Arabidopsis thaliana: one gene and its partners. The protein of the gene in region 1 interacts with the protein of each later gene in a pairwise test. Each region holds a gene or a part of one and is shown in the gene's direction. Other genes may lie near its edges.

Region 1 (5,188 bases):
TCCTGGAGGTAACCTAGGAAACATCTATGCCTTTTACAAAGGGTTTAAGATGTGTCAAGAACTGGGACTTGTCGATAGGATCCCGAGGATGGTCTGTGCACAAGCAGCTAATGCTAATCCTCTTTACTTGCACTACAAGTCTGGTTGGAAGGACTTCAAGCCCATGACTGCAAGTACCACTTTCGCCTCTGCGATTCAGATCGGTGACCCTGTCTCCATCGATAGAGCTGTGTACGCTCTCAAGAAGTGCAATGGTATTGTAGAAGAAGCCACAGAGGAGGAGCTGATGGATGCGATGGCTCAAGCGGATTCGACAGGAATGTTTATCTGTCCTCATACAGGTGTTGCTCTAACTGCTCTGTTCAAGCTGAGGAATCAAGGAGTGATTGCACCGACTGATCGAACTGTGGTAGTGAGTACTGCTCATGGGTTGAAGTTTACTCAGTCTAAGATAGATTATCACTCCAATGCCATCCCTGACATGGCTTGCAGATTCTCCAATCCTCCTGTTGATGTGAAAGCAGATTTCGGAGCTGTCATGGATGTTCTCAAGAGTTACTTAGGAAGTAATACACTTACGTCATAAGAGACAAGACCATAATCTTTAGCTGTTTTGTTTTTTGAAAACTTTTAGACGTTTGTTTGCGTTACTCTTCAACTCATCTCTCTGTGATCTTTATCTGTTTCTCAGTTTTCCAATAAAGTTCTATCGCAAAGTTTGAATCATTTTATCTTCTTTGTTTTTTGTGTAAGCGATAAATCTAAAGACTCCGGTCAAAATCAACCTGTTGCAGATTATATTGTTACAACTAGATGCGTCTTGGAGAATGCATAAAAGAAAAAAGTCAAAAAACCGAATTGTTCATGAGTAATCATAGAGCGATACACTCTTGTCATCAGAGACACTAGCAAGTCGACCAGCCCGGACACCGGTTCCACCTGGTGGTCTAAAGGCCACAGACCAAACCTGGTCATTGTGGTTGCTCATTGTCTGAATCGCAGCTCTCATTTTAAGATCCCATAGCCTCACAGTTCTATCGCTTGAGCCGGTTGCTATGGCTCCACCGTCTGGGCTAGCATCAACGCTCAGCACCCAACTCGTGTGCCCTGACATGGACCCCAACAGCGTTTTCCCTTCTGCATCGTGCATGTTCACATGCCCATCATCTGATCCAGAGAAGAGGACTCTCGGGTCTACAGGGGAGAACACAAGGGACCTTACAGGCATATTGTGACCTTCTAGCTGGTGAAGTAGCTTTGAGCGGTCAACATCAAAAACACAGATCGTACCATCCATTGAACCACAAGCAAGTCGTTTCCCATTAGGAGACCAAGCCACCGAGAGAACGAATTTCTTGCTGCTGGTTTTATCGGAAGGTTTTGGTGCATCTGGGCGTGGGATTGATAGAGTTGAGATTAATCTCCAGCTTGCAGTGTCCCAAAGCTTGACTGAGGCACTACTTCCACCTGCAACAGCAAGGATCGTACCCTTGGAACATGTAAAATACTATGTTAGCAGAGCACCATTCTAAAGAGTAATGTTGAAATTATAAGCTCAGAAGCAAATAAAAACTCCACTGCAAACTAAAAGAGAGATCATTGCACTGATACTTGATAGTCACCAGGTCAAAATTCTATCATACCAAATCAAGATTTATCATCAAAGCACCAATAAATTGTTCTTAATCTACTATATAAGACTCAATGAAAAATCAGAAGATGATCTAGATCTATTTTCCGAGCAGAGTAGATGACCCTATCTGATCAGAGCTACAGATTCAAACGATACTCAGCAATTCCATATAGTACCCAAGCATTGTTATATAGATCAGGAGAAGCATTACTCGCAACTAAGAAGTGAAATTCAATGAAGCAATCGAATTCTTTCACCACAAAACAACCCAAAATCCTTCAAAACCCTAAAATTGGAGGCAATCTCATTGAGTCAATTACCTTAGGTTCAAATTGCATTCCCCAAACCTCAGAAGGAGGAGCTTCCAAAACAGCAATCGTAGCATTAGTATCAACATCAAACACACGGACAAAGCTATCAATCGAAGAAGATGCTGCAATAATCCCAGAAGGATGCGCAGCCAAAGCTGCTACTCCCAAAGAGTGTCCAGTATTAGTCCGCACAAGATCCAGCTCGTCCGGTCGCCATAACTTCACCGTCTCGTCAAGAGATCCAGTCAGAAGCAACGCCGGTCGATCTTCCGTCGCCGGAACCCACGTCGCTGCCCAAACGGAATCTTCGTGAGCGTTCTCGATCGATTTCAGACCTGCGAGTTTCATTCTCTTTTTAGGTTTTTACTGTGTTTCCTCAAGTGAGCAAGAAGAAGCAAAAGACCCAAATTTGAAACAGAGACTTTGATTCTCGTTTTTTAGTTATAAAATAGAAACTCGCGTCGTTTTTAGTAGTTGGAAACAATAGAGTGTTTAACATCGTTCCGTATTCTTGTTTACTACTAAAGGCCCATTAATATCGTAACAGGCCCATTAATATCTTCTTCCTCACTCTCCCGCCGTCGTCAGCTAATTGCGGAGAAGTACTCTCTGGAGCCGCCACGTCTCAGTGATCCGACTACGACACCTTTCTTCACTCTTCTTCTTGCGTCTTCTCTGCTCTCGTGGTCTCTCTGTTATTTAATTTTAATCGATTGAGATCGCTTTTAGCTCTCGTCTTTGAATTTTACGGGCAGAAAATGGGTGAAGAAGCTCGAGCGTTAGATATGGAGGAGATCAGTGACAACACGACGAGACGAAACGATGTCGTTCATGACTTGATGGTTGATTTATACCCGCTTAGCAGCTACTACTTCGGTTCAAAAGAAGCTCTTCGCGTCAAGGACGAGATTATCTCTGATCGAGTCATCAGATTGAAATCCAAGTAAATCGAGTTTTGATGTGATTTAGATCATCTGGTTTTTTTCTTATTGTTTTAATCTATAGCTAAAGTTTCTTTTTTGTTTCTTTTGAAGTTATGCTGCTCATGGATTGAGAACTTGCGTTGAAGCTGTTCTTCTGGTAATTTTATAGTTGGTAGCCAAATTAGGGATTTTGAAAAGTTTTACAGGGAAAATTGGTTTGAAAGGATTGATTAAAATCTAATGTTGGGACACATCAGGTTGAGTTGTTCAAGCATCCTCATGTTTTGCTTCTTCAATATAGAAACTCCATTTTCAAGCTTCCTGGTGGTCGTTTGAGACCTGGAGAATCAGGTTTAGTATGCTGTTTCCTTGCATCTTTATGCATAAATATCGCTGTCTCAATTCTAAACGCTAAAGTCATGTTTCTCCTTAATCTTCTAGATATTGAAGGTCTAAAACGGAAACTAGCATCAAAGCTATCGGTTAACGAAAATGTGGGTGTTTCGGGTTATGAGGTAGGAACTATGGCTTCTTGTTAAAGTGCTTTTGTATCTGATTGTTTCTGGCTTAAGAATGGTCTCTCTAATTACAACATTGTTGTAGGTAGGAGAATGTATTGGGATGTGGTGGAGACCCAACTTTGAGACATTGATGTATCCTTTCTTGCCACCTAATATTAAACACCCAAAGGTTGGTTAGTTAGTTTCACTTTCATTGTAAGAAAAAGTTGAGACTTTTGAAGATTTGCGCTTATACTAAAAGCTCTGCTCTATCCTCATCTTTTGTGTAGGAATGCACAAAGCTTTTTCTTGTGAGATTACCGGTACATCAACAGTTTGTTGTGCCTAAGAACTTCAAACTCCTCGCTGTTCCATTGTGTCAACTCCATGAAAATGAAAAGGTATGTACTATCTTACTTGCATTGCCCTTAACTCATCGTGAACTTTTAATCGATGTTCCTGGTAAAACTAACAGGGTCAGTCAATCAAGCTGTATTTAATTATGTGTTGTGATGTTTCATTTATGCGTTGCAGACTTATGGGCCGATCATGTCGCAAATTCCTAAGCTTCTTTCGAAATTCTCCTTCAACATGATGGAGATATGAACGAACCTCATGATCATTGCCTCTAGTAGCTCTTGCCCCCCGCAATTTGTGATAGGATTATGTTTGGGGAAATCGTTTGTGGAGCCTCTCTGAGTCTGTGACTATATAATGTATATAGGGCTTATAATATATAGACAATGTTGAAGAATAGCATGTTCTTGTTGGTTATAGAGACTAGACATGAAGTATACTGATAGATAGATTAATCAATTCGAAACAATTTTTCTTTGTGTGATAATTTCGATGTGTAATTGAATGTATACATGAGTAAAACAAATATAGGGGTGTATGCTTATTTGTATATTCCTTGTTGAAGAAAACCTTGTTATCTTCAAACATGAAACCGAGAAACATAAGTAAAGATTTTACTGTTTGTTATATGTGTTTATTGTATTTGATCAAACAATATTTGAAATATTGAAAACTTTCTATAAATATCAAACGTTAGTTTGGCATTCTGCGTTAGCGTTTTGTTGTAGTGGTGATTTTGGGAGTGTTTAAAAACCAAAAGCTAAAGAACGAAGAATCACTGAATTAACCGGTTTGTTTCCGGTTAAAATGTGGATTAAAACTTTTCGGTCAAAGAAAACCGGGAAAAAGAAGTAGTAAATGGGAAAGTCTCTAAGTCGTTGGTCAACGTCGTGAACATGTGCTTGACTAATATTAATTAATGGCTGTTTTATTTCCAAATTCCAATTTCTGGCTGAAAAGTACATGAATTATGCTTAAAACTGTGTTTTACTTAATATATAATGACGAGGAAACAACAAAAAGGAAGAAGCGAAGAACGAAGTAGACGAAGACGATGAAGAAAGGTGGATTCAGCAATAATCTCAAGCTCGCAATTCCTGTTGCTGGCGAGCAATCCATCACCAAATTCCTGTATGTTTCTCGATCTCTCTTTCTCCATGGATCTGTGGATAGATAGATGTATTTGTGTGTGGAAATGTCTCTGGTTTTGTTTTTGAAGGAGGAAAGGTTTTGGTTCTCTCTGTAGGACTCAAAGCGGTACGTTTAAGGATGGAGATCTACGTGTTAACAAGGATGGAGTTCGAATCATTTCTCAATTGGAGCCTGAAGTCGTAAGTCTTTCCTCTTCCTCGTTCGGTGCTGATTTTACTGAATTTCGCGAGTGTTAGGTTTGATTGTTTATTTGTACTGCATATGAAGATTTTGTTGAGTTTGAATGCATTAACTGTAATGTGGTTGGTGGAT
Region 2 (6,699 bases), on another chromosome or scaffold:
TGGGTAAATAAAATTGATGCAGTATTGTAGTCGAATCTTATTTGCATATATATGGTCAACTGTACGGTTTCCTTGATATTAAACTCCATGTAACTCAGGCAATGAAAGAGTCGGTGCAATCTGATCTCCGGCATCAGGTTTCTCTACTGGTTCGTCCAATGCAACAGGTTAGCTTCTTCCAATATCTACGGAAGAGTTTTATACTTTTATTACATCATGTCTCGGTTAAGTCTATATTTTCCACTCATATTGCATCTATATCCAGTTTCTACAGCCTTGCATTGTAATCCGGTTTGAAAATTGATCTTAATCGGTTTTCTCTGCTAGGCTCTTGACGCTGCGTTCCATCACTACGAAGTGGATCTGCAGAGAAGAACAGCTAAGAGCGGCGAAAGACCAAACGGCTACGTATAGAGGACAAAAAAACTAAAACTAAAAAGCTTTGCAAGATCTTTGAATTGTTTCATCAGCCTTGGTTGGTGTTTTTGAAAATCTTCATTTGTCCCTTTTTGTCCGACCATTGAGATACAAAAATGCGTTTATATTGTAGTAATATTTTCTTTTCTTTTTTTTGTTAATTAGGCGTTATATTGTTAACTGCGAGAGACAACAAAGAGATTTTCTCGATCTGAACATTTTTAAGTTTGCAATGTATTAGTAAATTCTCTACAGGCTTTGAGGACGTTACTACAGCTCCAAGAAAGCTCTCAGTGCCATAATTGTTTGGTTATTTGGTTACTGGTGAATATTTATAATAATGGGACAATAATAGAGAAAATGCTTCGATGGCGTAGTAGATTTCAATGTTTGAATCGCATCAAACAACAATCCAAATTAGAAATATATAAAATTCAACATAAAACTTTTTTTGACATAGCATTCATGGATAACTTTTGATTTGAATGATTAATTTACTCATTGTGAGGAAAAAAATAAAAACAGATAAAGTTACTCATTGCTTGTCATATTGACATGACATACAAAATTCAAGCTCCATAAGTAAAGCTATAAAGAAAAAGAAAAGGGGGACTCTCCACTTTTAGGTTTCATATAAACTCGTTAACTAGAGATTGGGTTTTGATTAAGCACGATATAATATATATGGCCGAAAAAGCCTTTTGGTTAGTTTACTTGGCTCACGTTTTCGTCTTCATATTTTCCTGTGGACTTGTCTTCTCCTTCTAGATAACTTGCATATTCTTCTCTTGACATATTCGATTTTGTTTTCTCCTCTAAACATTGGTGAGTTTAGGTTTTCTTTGTGTTGAAGTTACTTATTTCCAGACACAGCCACAGAGGTATCGATATTTACTTGGTTCATAAGTTGATCGATATTTACTTGGTTCATAAGTTGTTGCATTGGTAATAGATGTGTGACCTTTATTTGAGAACAAACCGTCCAATGGTCGTGCATATGGTGGGCCTTGTACCAGAGAGATCTGCGCCGCTCTATTAATGATCACTGACATACCACTAGTAGATCTTTTCGCATGCAAATATATTTTATATTATTTTCTTTGTTAAAAGATTTTTCCTAGTATTATCATATGAGTAATTAATGTTTGTCCTTTAGCTTTCACTATAAAAACGCATATTATTATCGATAGTAAACATCCCAAATGTTCGGTTCATAGCATTTTCGATTTTCATATTTGAAAGGTAGAGAATCTTTTATATTTAACAAATTACAACTTTACAAGCATTGTAGTGAGGTTATATTTATACATGGTGCATCAAATAGATATAGGAGGATTAGTTTGCGATTTCAATGATTAAACCCAAAAAAGAACGACAAGAATAAAGTAAACTTAAACATCATATTCGAAATGAATCATATCCGTCTATGAATAATTATGTCAACTATTCAGCATTTACAATCACGCCAAACAATTGACACGTTATTCTCTAATCATAATATTGGTTACAAGAAATAGAAATTCACCGAATTACCTTTCCAAATTTTGTTCAAATAAATGTACGTATCTTATTATACTAATTTTATTTTGCATTTTCGTGTCCGCTAGATATGAACACGTCATCGATAACGTTCTATAAATATCATTCCTCTTGTCCAACTAATTAACTCACTCTCGAGAGTAGCGTGAGTCTTGAGGTTTCATTATTATTTTTTTGTTTTCCCTACAAGGAAGTAACAATGACCGTTGGTGCCGGAATCAGCGTCACCGACTCAGATTTGGTGGTGCTAGGTCACCGTGTTCTTCACGGCGTTCCGGAGAATGTCTTAGTTACCCCAGCTTCGGGAAACGCCTTAATCGACGGCGCGTTCATCGGCGTCACGTCAGATCAAACCGGAAGCCACCGTGTCTTCTCCCTTGGCAAACTCGAGTACTGTTCAAAATCCCTTTCCTACACTTTTGTTGTTAGATGTCACATAATTTGTTGAATTACTTGAGGCTTAGGGTATAAATGTTTTTTTTTTCCTTGGCAGAGACCTAAGGTTTATGTGTGTCTTCCGGTTTAAATTATGGTGGATGACTCAAAGAATGGGGACTAATGGGAAAGAGATTCCTTGTGAGACTCAGTTTCTAATCGTAGAAGCAAACCAAGGTTCTGATTTAGGAGGAAGAGATCAATCTTCTTCGTACGTTGTATTCTTACCTATACTTGAAGGAGATTTTAGAGCTGTTCTTCAAGGGAACGAGGCTAATGAGCTAGAGATTTGTCTTGAAAGTGGTAAGTTGACACAGCTAGCTAGATTTGAGTTGAATTTTTTTTGTTAGATTCTCTCTGAGATTTATATGGTTTTTGTATGGTCAAGGTGATCCAACCGTTGACCAATTCGAAGGGAGTCATTTGGTTTTTGTGGCTGCTGGCTCCGACCCTTTTGATGTCATTACCAAAGCTGTCAAGTATGTAATGTTTCTCAAGTCTCAACTTAAGACTTCTTTATGTCCAAATTTTTTTAGGGTTAAGAATCTTTGCCTTTCAATGATTATGCAGGGCTGTTGAACAACATCTTCAAACATTTTCACACCGAGAGAGAAAGAAAGTAAGGAAACATTGAGACGTTTTATGTGATCTTTGATTATATACATACCAAAATTAACTCTGAAAATTTCCCCTGTTTTGGTTGTGTTCAGATGCCAGATATGTTGAATTGGTTTGGTTGGTGCACTTGGGATGCATTCTATACCAATGTCACAGCCAAAGACGTCAAGCAAGGACTTGAGAGGTTCTCCTGAGTCTTTACTTTTGAAGATGGCTTTAGTAACTGTGACTTAACCAAACCTGCACTGATTCTCTGTAGCCTCAAAGCTGGTGGGGTTACCCCAAAGTTTGTCATAATTGATGATGGATGGCAATCTGTTGGCATGGATGAGACCAGTGTAGAATTCAACGCTGATAATGCTGCCAAGTAAGTAATTAAGCTCTCTTAATTCTGATTTAAGTTCTTTCTTTAGTCTTAATAAACCACTCTTTATCTTTTGTGCTTACCTTCAGTTTTGCAAACCGGTTAACTCACATCAAGGAGAATCATAAGTTTCAAAAGGATGGCAAAGAAGGCCACCGGGTGGATGACCCTTCATTGAGTCTTGGACATGTTATCACAGACATTAAGAGTAATAATTCGCTCAAGTATGTTTATGTTTGGCATGCGATAACAGGATATTGGGGAGGAGTCAAACCAGGTGTTTCTGGTATGGAACACTACGAATCCAAGGTTGCGTATCCAGTTTCTTCACCAGGAGTTATGTCCAGTGAGAATTGTGGATGTTTAGAAAGCATAACTAAGAATGGACTTGGTTTGGTGAATCCTGAGAAAGTCTTTAGCTTCTATAATGATCTTCACTCATACCTTGCATCCGTTGGGGTCGATGGTGTCAAAGTAGACGTCCAAAACATTCTTGAAACTCTTGGAGCTGGACATGGTGGTCGTGTCAAACTTGCAAAGAAGTATCACCAGGCTTTGGAAGCTTCTATTTCAAGAAACTTCCCTGACAATGGTATTATCTCTTGCATGAGTCATAACACAGATGGTCTCTACAGGTTAGCTTCTGGACCTACAACGTTGTTCTCATTGATATTTATCCATAATTATTACTATCCCTTCTAATTTCTTCTTGTAATGATACTTTAGCGCAAAAAAGACTGCTGTTATAAGAGCATCAGACGATTTCTGGCCTAGAGACCCCGCTTCACACACGATCCACATTGCTTCTGTTGCATATAACACACTTTTCCTTGGAGAGTTTATGCAGCCGGACTGGGACATGTTTCATGTACGTTGAATTGCTTTAACAAACTTTTCTGAACTTGTGAATGAATCTATCTGTTTCTCATTGCAGAGTTTGCATCCGATGGCTGAATATCATGCTGCAGCTCGCGCGGTTGGAGGATGTGCCATATATGTCAGGTAATCACAAGATTCAATACCATTTGACAAACAAATTATCATAGTAAAATGAGCTGCAAGTAAGTAACTCTAGATCCATTCAAACTTGTTAAACAGCGACAAACCGGGACAACATGACTTCAACCTTTTAAGAAAGCTAGTACTTCGAGACGGTTCCATACTCAGAGCAAAGCTTCCCGGAAGACCAACCAGTGATTGCTTCTTCAGTGATCCAGTCAGAGACAATAAAAGGTATCTCGTTTTCCTTTACTTGGAAGAGAAGAAAGCTTAAATCTTAACTAACTGTTGTATTATACTTTGCAAGTCTTCTGAAAATATGGAACCTGAACGAATTCACTGGCGTTATTGGAGTTTTCAACTGCCAAGGCGCTGGATGGTGTAAGAACGAGAAGAGATACCTAATCCATGACCAAGAACCTGGGACCATTTCTGGTTGTGTCCGAACCAATGATGTTCATTATCTTCATAAAGTAGCAGCCTTTGAATGGACAGGAGATTCCATTGTCTATTCCCATCTCAGAGGTAGTACACAAACTCAAACATCAGTCTAAATTACTCTGATTATACTAAAACCTTCACTTTTTTTTTCCTTTTCTATCAGGAGAGTTAGTGTATCTCCCAAAAGATACATCTTTACCAGTGACATTGATGCCACGTGAATACGAAGTTTTCACGGTGGTTCCGGTGAAGGAATTTTCCGATGGAAGTAAATTTGCACCGGTGGGGCTTATGGAGATGTTTAATTCTGGAGGAGCCATTGTGAGTTTAAGATACGATGACGAGGGGACTAAATTTGTCGTTAGGATGAAACTTCGAGGCAGTGGTTTGGTTGGTGTTTACTCGTCCGTTCGACGACCACGAAGTGTTACGGTGGATTCAGACGACGTGGAGTACCGGTATGAACCGGAATCCGGTTTAGTTACGTTTACTTTAGGAGTTCCGGAGAAAGAATTGTATCTGTGGGACGTGGTCATCCAATAATTATTGATCTGTATAATTGTATCAGTTCTGTATTGATTTGTTGGTTAATCTGTATGGGTTATCGACCAGACCAATACAAATCAAACAGATTGGTCCGTGTTCGTTTTGATATAATAATACAAAAAAAAAATGTTTGTTGTATGGCTTAGCATGCATTAGTGTAATCATTTTCTTCCTTCTTATTTATCATCAACGGTGTAAAATCTGTAAAATGTTATGGTGCAAATTTAGTTGTCCACAAGAGAACAACCAGACGACTATGTAATCATATCTGTAGATAGTAGTAGACTAGTAGATCCGTGCATTTTTAGCAATACTTCCACTAATAAAACTCGCAAATTAAAGCATTCTTAATTACTCTGAAAATGACTTCTACACACACCCTAAATGTTTTTATAGAAAATTTGGTTTTGGTCTAATTATTTTGATTTGGTTCGGTCTAGTAATTGATCAGTTTATGATATTTTTTGAAAGGATTTTTTTTTTTTTTTGGTCGTCTTTTGAAAGGAAAATTTTAAGAAATTATAAACGATTTATTTAAGTCCAGAAACGAAAGGGATCGAATCAATGATAAAAAAATTGCCTTAACAAAAAAGTTTTAAAAAAATTGGGATTACTTGATGCGGTCGATAGTTAATTTATTCTGGACTATGGTAACACGTCATGTTTAGGACCACTATGTTTTAACTAAAAACTGATATTAAAATAAAATTTATCGACCGCAATTGCTCTTTTTTTTCTCCTATATTTAAATCTTCACAGTAATTCACAGTTCACATATATTTCAATATTCATTAGTCATAACATTAGAAAGTAACAATATTGAGTCCAAATATTTTTTAAAAATCGGAAATTAGATAAAGTTCCAATAGTCTTTTTTCTTTTCTAAGTCTAAATAAATTCAATTAACTAGTTTCATAAATTATTTGAAAGAAGAAAATAAAAAATCGAAACATGTCTTTAAAAATGAGTAGAAGAAGGAAAGTTCCTCTCGATCACGCACTTGTTTACTGACATCTCCCAAATTCTTTAGTATCATCTCTCAATAAAAAAGAACAGACCATTGGGATCACAAATCTCCGAAGAAGAAGAAGAAGATATCAAAGTGTTTATTTTTGTGGGATTTCTGCTGCAACTTGTTCAAGTCTTTCTTCTCTGACCATTGGTTGACTTCTTCTTAGGTACTAAAACTTTCGAATCTCTCTTCACCGTTTCGTTGATCCCTCCGATCATCTTTAGGTCTTCTATTTGATTCTTGGTAGTTTATATCTGGTTTTAGGGTTTTGATATTGGATGGAATTGGGTTTGTGTTTTTCAAATATCAAGTCATTTGATTGGGCTCT
Region 3 (5,080 bases), on another chromosome or scaffold:
TCACCAGCAAGCCAATCTACGAAGACAAGCTCAAAGTCAAGACCTTTCTCATTGATACAAAAGAGAGCTGCCGAATTACCCCAGATAAAGCCACAGTGGAGCTTCATCTTAGAATCAGCCATGTTGTTTTCTTTGTCTATTTACTAGATTAGTTATATTATTGGGTGATGAGTCCTATTGTGATCTCCGTATTTATAGTTGTGAAAAAGTATATGTAATAATCAATAACCTTTCGGCCTTCTAAGAGTTTTTTTTTTGGGTGTAAATGTTAAATGCCTTCTAAGAGTTGGTCATCGATCGATAAATGATAGTATAGTTTAGATTAAGTATTAAATACCTGTCAGACTCTCTAGAGTTTTAATAAAGGGTGAAACTAAGTCAATAACAACCAGAAATGAGTTAATTAACAAAGTGGCAATAAAAAAACGAATTAAAAGAGGGAAATTTTATCTAGAACCAACTTTTTATACTGCATCTACTAGTACATAGACTATTAGATTTGACATTTGAGTTAAGTAAACTAACTAATCAATAATTGCTCCATTTATAAAATTTTAGTGTTTCATAATTATAATGATCTCCCGCTTTCTTAGGAAACTCAGACAACCTCCAACGGTGATTCTAGATGAGCTCTAGAGAGGTGAGACCATCCTCAACGCCAGTATGCTATGAAAATTTATAAAAGGATAAAAATAATAATATTTTAATTTTACAGTTATATTTTAAATATTTTATATAGATAGACCAATAATAAAGATGAACGTGTCTTTGGGTTTGTGATATCGTCTCTTAGCTAAGAGTTTTTGGAATTTCTCATTCTCTCTCTTTTTTTAACTTTTAATTATTTTTATTTTTTTAATTGTTAAGAATTCTATTAAACAACTATCGTTAACGGTGGTCTGAAGCCCTTAGAAAAAAGCCAACATTTAAAGAAAAAATGTGATGAAGTGGATGGAACTCACTTTAGCTAAGAACATTTTTTGTTTGGAAAGAGGCCCATACCTATCATGTTTCATAGGTTCGGTAATGTGAGGAAAGAACATTAATTTTTTTTCCCGTGTATTTTTTTTCTCTTTTCTCTCGTAAAATCCGATGATGATTACGAATCGATCATCATCAACCGTCATCTAGATCATTAAGTAGAAGAAAACCAAAGAAGCTCGTCTCTTATCCGCCGTGATCATCATCATCTACACCGACGGTGCTCACATCTGCGAATTCGATGAACTAAATCGGAGAGTTTGTTTAACCAAATCGGAAATTTATGTGAAACTATGCTCCAATCGTTTGATAAAGGGTGAAAGCAACTAAATAACAACTAATAAATGAGTTAATTAACAAAGTGGCAATAAAAAAACAAAATTAAAAGAGGAAAATTTTATCTAGAACCAACTTGTATACTGCAACTAGTACATTAACAATTAGATTTGAGTTAAGCAACTAACTAATCAATAGTTTCTCCATTTATTCATTTTTTTTCGGGAAAAATGTTGTTTAATACACCAACTTTCAAAAAGTGGCCATTTAAACCATGAACTCCATATATGGCCAAATAAAACTTAGTAAAAGCGTTGACCGACCATTTTATACATCTCAAAACGTTGACCAGGCCAAAAATCCTGCGACGTTAGCAGTCGTTAACAGAGTCGATAACAGGCGTTAGCAGGCGTTAATTAATCCGTTTAAACACAAAAATCTTCAAACGAACAAAAATGGAGAGGCTTTTGAAGATTTTTGAATTTGGGAATTTTAGGGCATGAGAATTGGAATTGGGGATTTTAGGGATTGAGAATCGAATTGGGAATTTTGTTGGTTTCGATTAAACACAAAACGACGTCGTTTGTGTTTAAACGGATTAATTAACGTCTGCTAACGCCTATTATCGACTCTATTAACGACTGCTAACGTCGCAGGGTTTTTGGCCGGATCAATGTTTTGGAATATATAAAATGGCCGATCAACGCTTTTACTAAGTTTTATTTGGCCATATATGGAGTTCATAGTTTAAATGGCCACTTTTTGAAAGTTGGTATATTAAACAACATTTTTTCCCTTTTTTTCCGTCAATTTCTCCATTTATTCAGTTTAGTGTTTCATAATGCTCTCCCCGTTTTCTTGGGACCTATGTATTAGTGGACTTTACTTGGATAGGCCCAATAATTGGGCTTTTCCCCTTAGTTTTTTATTACAGCGACACCGTTTTTAAAGATGTTTTGTCTTAGCTCCGACAGCAAGTGGGAGATGACGTCACCTTTTCACTGCAGTTTCCCTTTACTTTTTCCTCGCAATTTTCTCTCTTCTCTCTCTCTGTCCTCCTTATCTCATCGTCTCTGACTCGCTGCACTTAGTTTCAGATCATATAAACGAATTTGGTGATTGATCGGTGCATGACGAGCGCATCGGAACTCTTCTCTACACGAAGATCACGTCCGGGTCGATCCGACCCGGCTTTAGAATCCGACACTTCTTCCTATCGACACCACTCACACCATCATCATCGCCGTCACGGCGTCCATCATCATAATCAGCGTCATGATTCCGACGGCTGTGATCCTCTCCGGCGACCCACTCCCCGTCTCCGACGCTTCTTTCACCATCCGGTTAGTTACTTTCCACCAAATTAGTAATTACTAATTTCAGTAGTTGTCTGAATTTGGTCCTTTTTACTAAAATCTCCCCTAATTTACAGATTCAGGAACGTAGTAGACCTATTCGTGATGTTCAAGGCACTAGTCAGTATTTAAATACGGATAGTACTGATACTGAAACTCAGAGTAGCAGCTTTGTTAACCTAAATGGATCCGAGAGGCTTCCTGGAGCTGTTCTGCTTGCAAGGGATAGACTTTTCGAAAGATTGAGAGGTGTTTCTTTGTCTAGTAACAGGTCTGTGCTTAACCCACTGATAAATTTTACAGCTTTACTTGATCTGCACTCTAGTCTGATTTTAGATTTCTTTAAAAATAATTGCTTTTGTCTGATCAAGATTCTTTGAAGCATGTTTTGATTTTGCTCTTGTTTCTTGTGAGGATTGGTCAAGACTTAGTGTAAAAATCAGTTTTTGTGGATTATTGTTGCTTTGTGTATTCTTTAATATCTTCTTTGAAGCCTCTTTTTCAAAATTTGGTTACGGATTTGTTTCAACTTTGTTTTTCTGATTCAGTCGAAGCAACAGAGTTTCATTGGATGATCAAAGGGAGTCTTCATTTCATTCTATAGATGGAGATCCAATTTTTCAACTAGCAGGGCTTCAAGTGACCTATGAATGCAACAAGAAACCACAAGGTCTTACTCAAGATGCTATTAACTGTTTACACCGGCAAACTTTTAGCTCAGCCGAGGTTAAATCCGAGATGAGAGATTGTAGCATATGTTTAGAGAGTTTCACTAAAGGTGACATGCTAATATCCTTACCCTGTACCCATAGTTTCCATTCTTCTTGCTTAAACCCTTGGCTTAGAGCTTGTGGAGATTGTCCTTGTTGCCGTAGAGCCATAGCAAAGGAATAGAAACTTGTAAATAGAATCTTTGCCTAACCATTAGGCCATAGCCATACACATCTTCTCTTCTTCTTGCTATAGACATCCTTAAAACGATCTTCTGAGTTTTGTCGCCCATGAGTGTTTTTTTTACTGTCACATGTTTGTAATGGTTTTTGTTGTGCCATTAGGCAGTTCAAGCGTTGATATCGTATGGTGTGAATCTTTTTAGTTTTATTCACTGTGATCTCTCTTTTAATGTCTTGTTGGTTATATGAAAGAGACTTTTTCCAAATCCAAATCTTGATCCGACAATTTGGTTATGCTTTGAGGTTATAGCTCAACAACTTAACGTTTTCATTTTCAGAAATTTTGATTGTCTCAATCTGGTGATACTACTTTAAAGCTTTGCTTCCTCTTCCAAAACGTTGTCATTATCATACATCCATGTACGTTACATATATTGAAGTCTAATATCAAAAGATTCAATCAATTTATAACAACTTTAAAAGAAAGTTATGCCAAAAAAAAGAGAACTTTAAAACAAAGTTAAGGCTAAAAGGAGAAGACAGTTGTGCACAAAAAGCTATTTTTTGCTACAAAAGCATATCAAAATGGACCCCTTTCTTCATAAATTCATGATCATCATCTTCAATTCCTTTCATAAAATCCCATTTATTTGCTCCTAACCATCACTTTCTCTATTGGGTACCTAACACACCTCACTCTCTAACCACTAAAATTAACAATACATACATTAAGAATGTCCTGCCTTTCTTTTTCTATCACATCAATTTCATGTCTTCGACAACATTAAAACCTATATGATTCAAATTCAACCAACTTAAAACGGTTTAGTTCAGTTTAAAATCAACGAAAGCTGAAGAAGATAAGAGAGCTTCACTTGCTAACAATTAACTTTCCATAGATTGAAATTTTGACTTGCTAGAAAAATATGAGACAAATTCAACATTTAAGCAGCAATTCTCCTTCTCTTGCTGCAAATAAATCCCATCACCTTACTCAATAATATTGAAGGCGACAAAGAAAATAAGAGAAATGAAACTTAAATAAACCAATCGTGTAATCAAACTCCTAATATTTGAGCTGTTAAACAAAGGGGTTAGTTAGTCTCATTTCAAGGCTCGAGTCTTGTTATTAGGATTACTATGCACAGATTGCATCTTCCCTACCATACTCAGACATCAATATGCCAAACAGGATCATTGTCGAAGCTTCCTTTCTCCAAGGCTGCAACTTTAGCTCTATGAGCTGTTGTTGAAGCCAACGCTAGTGAGCTCTTCCCTTTCTCCTCTTGACCCGAGTACTCGCAGGCTTCAGTTAACGAACCAGACCGAAGATCAGCGGGTGGGATAAAGCAATCTAGAGACAGACCAGGAACATTGAAAGCGACTTCTTCAATGGTCCATCTTTCCTCCATCTTTGTCCTAGTGTGGCTCATAGCAACTTCCCCAAATCTGAAGAGGGTAACAACAGAGCGTCCAGAGTGAGCAATCATGATCCCTTCCACCTGTTTGTAGTCGTCTAGAGACGAATTGATCGTGGTCTCCCAGTAAACAGCATCACCATCGTTAGATTGGATT

What was found.
Region 2: the proteins of CFIM-25 (region 1) and SIP1 interact in a two-hybrid assay, tested with the Arabidopsis thaliana proteins (one large-scale study listed by BioGRID).
Region 3: the proteins of CFIM-25 (region 1) and AT1G49850 interact in a two-hybrid assay, tested with the Arabidopsis thaliana proteins (one large-scale study listed by BioGRID).

The regions. Positions count from the first base shown.
Region 1 is NC_003075.7:14,594,832-14,600,019, reverse strand, and holds CFIM-25 (homolog of CFIM-25), read left to right. Parts: upstream 1-2,503; 5' UTR 2,504-2,702; coding exon 2,703-2,887; intron 2,888-2,978; coding exon 2,979-3,024; intron 3,025-3,124; coding exon 3,125-3,218; intron 3,219-3,308; coding exon 3,309-3,382; intron 3,383-3,470; coding exon 3,471-3,557; intron 3,558-3,657; coding exon 3,658-3,768; intron 3,769-3,901; coding exon 3,902-3,973; 3' UTR 3,974-4,340; downstream 4,341-5,188. Other genes in the region: MTO2 (Pyridoxal-5'-phosphate-dependent enzyme family protein), read left to right, coding at 1-586; VIP3 (Transducin/WD40 repeat-like superfamily protein), read right to left, coding at 863-1,489, 1,954-2,292; MKK2 (MAP kinase kinase 2), read left to right, coding at 4,779-4,855, 4,944-5,055. UniProt on the Arabidopsis thaliana protein: Component of the cleavage factor Im (CFIm) complex that plays a key role in pre-mRNA 3'-processing. Involved in association with CPSF6 or CPSF7 in pre-MRNA 3'-end poly(A) site cleavage and poly(A) addition.
Region 2 is NC_003070.9:20,834,164-20,840,862, reverse strand, and holds SIP1 (seed imbibition 1), read left to right. Parts: upstream 1-2,084; 5' UTR 2,085-2,155; coding exon 2,156-2,346; intron 2,347-2,449; coding exon 2,450-2,694; intron 2,695-2,779; coding exon 2,780-2,870; intron 2,871-2,961; coding exon 2,962-3,010; intron 3,011-3,101; coding exon 3,102-3,193; intron 3,194-3,268; coding exon 3,269-3,376; intron 3,377-3,462; coding exon 3,463-4,008; intron 4,009-4,099; coding exon 4,100-4,241; intron 4,242-4,307; coding exon 4,308-4,375; intron 4,376-4,471; coding exon 4,472-4,606; intron 4,607-4,679; coding exon 4,680-4,897; intron 4,898-4,976; coding exon 4,977-5,356; 3' UTR 5,357-5,607; downstream 5,608-6,699. Other genes in the region: AT1G55750 (BSD domain (BTF2-like transcription factors, Synapse-associated proteins and DOS2-like proteins)), read left to right, coding at 99-167, 328-414. UniProt on the Arabidopsis thaliana protein: Transglycosidase operating by a ping-pong reaction mechanism. Involved in the synthesis of raffinose, a major soluble carbohydrate in seeds, roots and tubers.
Region 3 is NC_003070.9:18,453,752-18,458,831, reverse strand, and holds AT1G49850 (RING/U-box superfamily protein), read left to right. Parts: upstream 1-2,212; 5' UTR 2,213-2,387; coding exon 2,388-2,600; intron 2,601-2,689; coding exon 2,690-2,883; intron 2,884-3,160; coding exon 3,161-3,506; 3' UTR 3,507-3,988; downstream 3,989-5,080. Other genes in the region: GSTF14 (glutathione S-transferase (class phi) 14), read right to left, coding at 1-122; AT1G49840 (glutamyl-tRNA (Gln) amidotransferase subunit A (DUF620)), read right to left, coding at 4,675-5,080. UniProt on the Arabidopsis thaliana protein: Probable E3 ubiquitin-protein ligase that may possess E3 ubiquitin ligase activity in vitro.